Linked DNA regions of Drosophila melanogaster. The protein of the gene in region 2 interacts with the protein of the main gene of each other region in a pairwise test. Each region holds a gene or a part of one and is shown on either strand. Other genes may lie near its edges.

What was found.
Region 1: the proteins of fiz (region 2) and TwdlW interact in a two-hybrid assay, tested with the Drosophila melanogaster proteins (one large-scale study listed by BioGRID).

The regions. Positions count from the first base shown.
Region 1 is NT_033777.3:17,140,674-17,144,603, forward strand, and holds TwdlW (TweedleW), read right to left. Parts: upstream 1,732-3,930; 5' UTR 1,640-1,731; coding exon 1,625-1,639; intron 1,554-1,624; coding exon 642-1,553; 3' UTR 535-641; downstream 1-534. Other genes in the region: CG5265 (uncharacterized protein), read left to right, coding at 1-365.
Region 2 is NC_004354.4:14,907,922-14,911,851, reverse strand, and holds the start of fiz (fezzik), read left to right. Parts: upstream 1-2,143; 5' UTR 2,144-2,845; coding exon 2,846-3,172; intron 3,173-3,567; coding exon 3,568-3,930. Other genes in the region: CG12398 (uncharacterized protein), read left to right, coding at 1-9; CG14406 (uncharacterized protein), read left to right, coding at 1,033-1,228, 1,535-1,650.

The DNA.
Region 1 (3,930 bases), on a different chromosome or scaffold from region 2:
GTGTCGATCGTCACCTCTTTGGACTTAAACTAATGGCGGTGGAGAACTGCCTACCTGTTCCGGAGTTCTTCTCTTCGCCAGGATATGTAAAGTCCACGCACTTTCGAATGTCCACTTCGCAGGTGGCCACCAAATATGATGCCTTCATGGGATATGGACCTTCTGTAGAAGATGGATATGCCTGTTGCTACAATCCCCGTGAACATGACATCATTTTGGCCATATCCGCATGGCGACATTGTCAGGCAACTGATCACCAAAAGATCGCCAAGGCGCTTGCGCAGTCCTTTGCTGAAATGAAGGATGTACTTGAAACATGTCCAGCTTCAAAAGACAAGCCGCCAGAGCTTAAGTGCAAGTATTGAATGTGTTTTCCTAGAACATACTTTGGATCCAAAAAAATTCCTCTTATTCCAATAATACGTTCGTTCAGTTTGGAAAGCTAAATTCATTCCCATTTAGTGGGACTTATTAAAGTACTATTAATCACTTCTTAAAATCGTCATCTAGTTAAAATTCAATGGTTTTTTTTTTAACAATTATATTTTAATACGGATTTGGGTAACATTGGCAAGCACTTAAACCTAAGTGGTGTTGATGACAGCTAACTAGATCTGGATGTGACGAGCAATGAAGAATACTTAGAACTGGTTCGCGGGCAAATAATGATTGCCGATGGGACCGACGCCAGAGTTTCCGGCACCGTTCTCCGCAAATTGTCCCTCTGAATGTTGCTGCTGTTGCTGTTCCTCCTCCTCCTCCTCTGGAGGATCCAGGGATCCCACCACCGAGGTGATGGGGGCCACACCCTCGTCGGTGATGGTCGAACTTCCTCCCAAAGTATCGTACTGTGACTGAATCTGCCGCTGGGCATTCAGAGCTTCCTCTGGAGTGCGGTACTTGATGAAGAACACCTCCGGCTTATTGATGTGCTGTGGCGCCTCGGCAATGGCATCCTGCAGATCGGAGGCGGTCGTCTTCTTGGCCAGCACATAGACCACGGTCTTCTCCTGCTTAAGGGTCTTGGCCAAGTTAAGAGCCGCCGCGCGATTGGTCTGAGCCGGCGTCTTGACGAACAGCACATTGTAGTGGTTACGGGGCTGCTGGGCCAACTGGTTCAGCTCGTCCTGGACCTCATCCTCAGACTCCTCGGGCGCCGAGTGGATGAAAAAGTTTTTGGTCACAATGGGACGCTTGGGAATCCTGACACGCGGACGAGCGCGTCGCTGCTGCTGGATGGGAGCGGTCTGGAAATTGACGGGGAAGCCGGCGGGCATGGGAAACGATCCGGCTGTGGGACGAACTGCAGGCTGGGCAGAATGGAACTGGCCAGCGGGCGGGAGGTAGGGCAGTGGGAGAGGTGGAAGCACCGGGTGCGAGGATTGCTGGGGCTGGAGCTGCTGCTGCTGCTGCAGTTGCTGGTTCAACAGGTGGGCCACAATGGGCGGTTGCTGTTGCTGCTGCTGCTGTTGGATGCGGTAGTTGTAACCCGCCTGGGTCAAGCTGATGTCAGCCTGGCTGAGGCTCAGGCACATGGCGCCCATCAGAACCGTCTGAAAGAGAAGCAATCATTATAATCCCTTGTAATCCAATTGGCATAGAGGTAGTCCAAGTTCCAACGCACCACAAATATCTTCATGCTGCCGCTTGGGTGGGTGTCTCTCTGCTGGTTAGCTGTCTTAAGCCGGATGCTCCCTCGCTGTCCGAGTTTCTTAGTGCTGTGATGATGGGTCAACCGGGCACCTGGCCTTTTATACCAATCCACGGGCCCAACTTGTTTATAATCGGAAACAAATCGTGAAACAGCAGCCAACACAGTTGCAACAGTCGAGGGGTCATAAAACATTTGTTATGCGTGGCGAAGAGGTTGTTCGGATTCATTTGGCTGGGTGGCAAGTGGGCTTTTGTATCGACTTTACATGGGGTTCCACAAAAGTCGAGCGAGAGGAAGCCCCAACAATGGGTGATACAGATACGACAAAAAAAAATCTGCATTTGTTGTAAACAAGTTAGTCGAGCTGTAACTATATCATTTTGAACATTTGCCTTATAAATATAATATATATTAAGTGTGCGTTCACTCCAAGCAAGTATCTAATACGATTTCAGAATATAAACAAAATTCAAATAACTATTCATTCATCAGATCCCTAGTAACTATACTAACTTCAATCTCAATATTGCAATTAATTCATTGAATTTGATTATAGATTTATATTTAGATTTTTTCATACAGGCAGTAAAAACATTTATTGAGAAACTACTTAATCATTTAATTGTAAATATAATTAAAATACCCAAGCATATCCATGGCTGCCAAGTGGACAATCAAATCGTCGTTTAAATTAATACAAAAGTTTTGTTTAGCTTCGTAGTTTTTGCAGATCAGTTGAATGTCCCAGAGTAATATGTAAATATTGATGACGAAGATAGGCGGACGAGGTTACTCGACCGACTTAAAATGCACTTTTGTCTACGGGACCATTGTCTCTATTTTGTTTTATTGTTCGAAACCTGAGCTATCAAATGGAAATTGAAAATTGTATATGCCGGGGACTTCAGTATTTCGCATCAGTTTTGGTCTGGCCCAAGGTCTAGGTTTTTGTCTCCATTCGATGGGGCGTAAGTGTTGGGCGATATATTGTCAGCTTTAAATGTGCCAAATTGAGACAAAATGATAGTATTGAATTTGAATTGGATTTCAAACTAAAAAAGTGAAGGTAAATAACCCCCGATCAAATCGAAAGCACAGCGTATCAAATGGATATGCCAGCTTCCAGCGGAAATTAGTTGTCATAACAAGCAGATGCATACGGAATACAAGCAGATATAGACCTTATAGGGCTAATTGGCAGGTCTCCATACTAATGGAGTGAATGTGCAAATGGTGTAATATCGAAGCGGAGATAGCAAGCTTTGCTGCTTCCTTTCCAATTTGGACTTACACACTTGCCACTTTGCCACCTGAGATATATTTCAAAATCTTGTGCATCCGACAGGGTGCATCTCATTAGCCGGGTGAAATTCTGCCCACAAATCAAAATAAACCAGCCAAGGGCAACTTGGCCACCAGATAATGAGTTAGCCCACATGTTTTCTGGTCGATGCCAAAAAAAAAAAAAAATGGTTTTCAACTTTCTCACGCCAATTTCGTGAGCCATGAAAAACAGTGAAATGGAACCGAAACTATGTTCCCTTTTTGGGCCATTAAAGATGCAAAGATCTGTCAAAGAAATATACGATAAGTTGTTTTCTGTTTGTAATGGGAAACCAAAATTACTTTGTCATTAATTAATAGATCTAAATGCATTAGTTCAAAAGTAGCAACAAGAGAAAATTACAATTTTAAATGGAAATAAAATGCGACCATGATTAATGGGTGCCAACTATTGCCGCACTTTGCATATTTTATGCAAAATGAATAAGTTGCCAAAATCTATTGAATGCAAAACACTCGGTGCGCAGATTAGTCAAAGCATAAAAGTGAATGTTGACGGTACACAAATTATGATTTGCGTAACAAAACTATTTTATTTTAATTTATTAATTCACACCATGAGAGATTTTGACATAGGCTACCTTTGTCCATTCCTATGCATAGCATTAGCAACCGAATCCGAACCCAAACTACATCCACCTGCGAATCCGTATCCCAAATCCATCACATCGAAACGATTGGGCGATAAATGCCCCTGCGATCGATGCCTACCATCCATCCGGTCGTAATAAATGCATTTTTAATTATTGGCCTAAAAATGGTTAAAAATTAATTATGGGACACCTCGAGCTCACAACTATTTTCGGATGACCACAAAACCAAAGAAAATAAAATGTTTTTTTTTTTTTCAATAAGCATGTGTATCGAATCATGTTTTGTTTTTTCTACGCTTAAGCTGACAGTTTTACATGGGCTGTTGAACAAATACTGAC
Region 2 (3,930 bases):
TGGGGTTAGGTACCATGATATCATTTCCTTTGTACTTTAATTTAAAGCAATAAACTAATTTTTAAACCGAGCAAACGATGGCTGCGTTGGCTTTCATATATAGAGTAAACTTGCAACAAAAAACGTGTTACTCGTGCAATGGGAGAACCTTTATAAATATATACATAATACATTTGCCAATCATGAGAAGGTATTTATGGATATGATAGAAAAACGATCTTGCAACCTAGATAAGCCCTTCGAGAACTATTAAGTTAAATGCATGCCTGGCTAATGGCCACATATGGCATTGGATTTTTTCTTTTTTTTTTCGCCTGAGAGTCAACGAATGCAGCCACTGCGATTAGTAATCCATATATCAATTGAAACTAACCATATAGTATAATGGAGAACTATTCATTGTTGTCATTCCGCAGGTCAGCTAATTTGCTTTGGTAATGATCTTGGCATTCATTTGACTCATGGTGCTGTTTGTTTCCCATTTTCAATTCAATTCATTTAGTTTTTCATTTATGCTCAATTCTCTGTTTTAAAGTGTGAGAACTTGTAATAGCACTTCCCAGCGTTCGGAACTTTCGCAATTTTGTAGTGATTACTTATGATTTTGTATTCCGGTATAGTTTCGATTGGAGAGCATATTCGTTTTGTGGCTTAGTAGCTTAAAAATTAAATAATTAAAAAGATTTTTAAAATTATTCCCTTTTATTTTGATTACTTATGTTAATCTAACTATTTTCCTATAAACATTTCTTTCAAATATTTTTTTGTAATTATGGAAATATGGCAAGGAGTATCTGTTAGTTTCATTCATGATATGAAAGCATTGTTCTCAATCGATTTTGCTCGTAATTTATGAGCGGCCACTGAACCTAAATGGCAAATGGCAGCGCGAGCTTACGAGTTTTACCAGTTTGAGTGTCTCAGTGGGCCATGGCTTTGCATTGGGCCGCAAATCGGAAGAGGTTTTCGAGACTTTTCATGCGAGTGCGCGGCGATTGAACTGGTCATTCCACGTCCGCCACTGAACGCAAGATGACGCTCCACAAGCTGCCCGCCAAGTGCATTCTGCTCGTGGTGTTGCTGCTCCTGCTGGACTCCAGCCTGGCCAGGTCGCAACAGTTCTTCGTCGCCGAGGATGTGATAACAGGAACGGCAACTGAAACGGGAACTGCAGCTGCAAGCAGAACCGTATTTGGTGATGATCAATTGCCCATCAACGATCCATCGGGTATGTGTTGAAATGTTCCGAAAAATGTAATCAAATCACAAGAAATACCAGACATTTCAATCTTTTCGAATGCAAAAGATCTTGTTTTCTGCAGCACTTTGCAGCCTTCTTAAGAATAGATACCATTCAAAGATATAGTTCGGATTATTATTTTCATGAATGAACACAGTATTGTACCAGAATTTTCAACTATTTTCGTAAACTCAATCCAGTTTGTTCGTAAACTTTGAATACATTTTAAGATACAATTACAAAAGCTTGAAATTACATAAATATTTTTATTGATCTGACATTTTTTCTGTATAGATCTAAGTGCTGGTTTAAATTTGGCGCCCGTTGGCAGTCTGATTGCGGCAGCAGCGAATGCCGTACCCCCTGCCCCTGTTCAATTTATTCGCACGGCCATGAACAGCGGGCTCTGACCGCCAGGTGGCGCTAACCTGAATTCCAAAATAACCCAAAAATAATTGTCTCTAATTTTTAAGCGCCTTTTCGGGCAAGCGTTTTAATTACTTTGTAAAGCTGCATTTTTGTTTTGTTTTTTTTTTTCTTTTTGTTTTTCATTAAGCTGAACTGCTTTGATTTTTTTTGCCGTCTTAATGTTTGTTTGTGTCGAGCCAAGTGCTATAAATGATTTTATAATACTCGTTTAATCTGGTTACGACTTTTTCGGAGCGATAAAAACTGTGCAGTTTGGAACTCAGTTTTCAAAGCCATTTTTCTTATCTAAATGTGTTATCAAGGAAATCTCTGTTACGTTGTTTTTTTTTTCATTCTAACTTGGCTGCAGCTCTTAAATGGCGAGCAATGCTATTCAAATATATATTATATTATATTTTAATTATATATGAAGTTTAAAAAATGTTATAAAATTTTAAAAACAATTTTCTTATTTTTTAAATCTATGCTTTGATTTTAGAAATATAGCACATATGTAATTATTAATATTATATTATATTATGGCTATTTGTTTATATGCACTTCATCAAAATATTCCAATTGCATCCAGAATGCGAAGCGATCGAAAAATATATAAAGTAATTGGAAGAAAGTAGTTCAAATGACCGATGAACTCATTTCGATTGCTATTCTGGTTCTCATCGTGATGATGCCGATTCAGAAACTGAACAATTTCTATACACTACTAACATTTATTTAAAACGTATAATGCTTCACTCTTTATCGTTAAAAATAAAGACACACACAAAAAAGACAAACAACGATGTTTCGATAAGCATTAAAGTCAAAGTAAGCTTTTTACAGTTTTCACATTGATTAAAGTTTTATAAAGCTGCTAAGAATGTTTAAAGAAATCCGCAAAACATTTTTACAACATTTACATTAAAATTTAGTTTGGTTTCCTTACCGTTTTGTATTTTCTTCTTGTGTATTGAAAAATTAAATTAATCACCATTAAGCGTATTTATTATCTCGCTCTCGCTCTGCCAATGGCTAAGTCAACGTCCTCGTCGGTTGGTCGCCGCAGGGGGAGGATGCACTGTACCTGCTTATCAGATCAGTGGCTATAAAAGCGAATCTTCAGCCGCGACTGCGCCTCAGAGTCAAATAGAACCGGGTCCAAACGAGTGGCACAGGCTAACGGAAAAGCAAAACGCAATGTCACTAGACGGTGGCCAGAATCTTAACTTGGATGCGGCGGCCATTGGCCCAGATCCATGTGGATCCGTTCCAGCAACACCTGGCATTGGATTATGGAGTGGCATGGTGACCATTCTTGTGCAAACGCTTCTATCGTCCCAGTGTCTAGTTTCGCCCGCCAGCCAGTGGCCAGTGGACTATGTTGGCGATTTGAGTCAACCCTACGATTTTGTGGTCATTGGAGCAGGATCTGCGGGATCCGTGGTGGCCAGCCGGCTGAGCGAGAATCCCGACTGGAGAGTGCTCGTCCTGGAGGCGGGCGGTGATCCACCCGTCGAATCTGAGGTGAGTGCCATCATATATTGGCATATGCCATGAGATCGTACCTTGGTTTTTTCTAATCTTACACACAAAGCTCTGTAAAATACAATCTAAACTAAACTTTTCCACTCTTGAGCTTTTCCATCTACTAACGAGGCAAAACAAACCCACACCAACACCATACCATAAAATAATAATCGTAAATGTAATTATAATGATGGAATAAACAATTCTCATAAAAGGAGGTAATAGAGTTACCAAAATCAATTGATGTTACTGCATTTAAATTTGCATACAAATTATTGTAGCATTCTTCATAGCATTAGTTTAAAATTTCCCTCAAAAATCATTTTATGTCTATAAGTATGCAATAATTAGAAACTAATATATTATATATAATATTCTATATTCCCTCGCAGTTGCCGGCACTATTCTTTGGACTGCAGCACACGAACTTCACGTGGAATTACTTCACAGAGCCCAGTGATGAGGCCTGTCAGGCAATGAAAGATGGTCGCTGCTATTGGCCACGAGGCAAAATGCTGGGAGGATCGGGAGGAGTGAATGCCATGCTATATGTTCGTGGCAATCGCAGGGACTTCGATGGCTGGGCGGCAATGGGAAGCACGGGCTGGAGCTATGATCAAGTGATGCCGTTCTTCGAAAAGTCGGTCACGCCTCAAGGTAATGCCACCCATCCTAAGGGTTATGTAACCCTAAAACCGTTCGAGCGAAAAGATAATGACATACATCAAATGATCATCGATGGAGGTCGGGAGTTG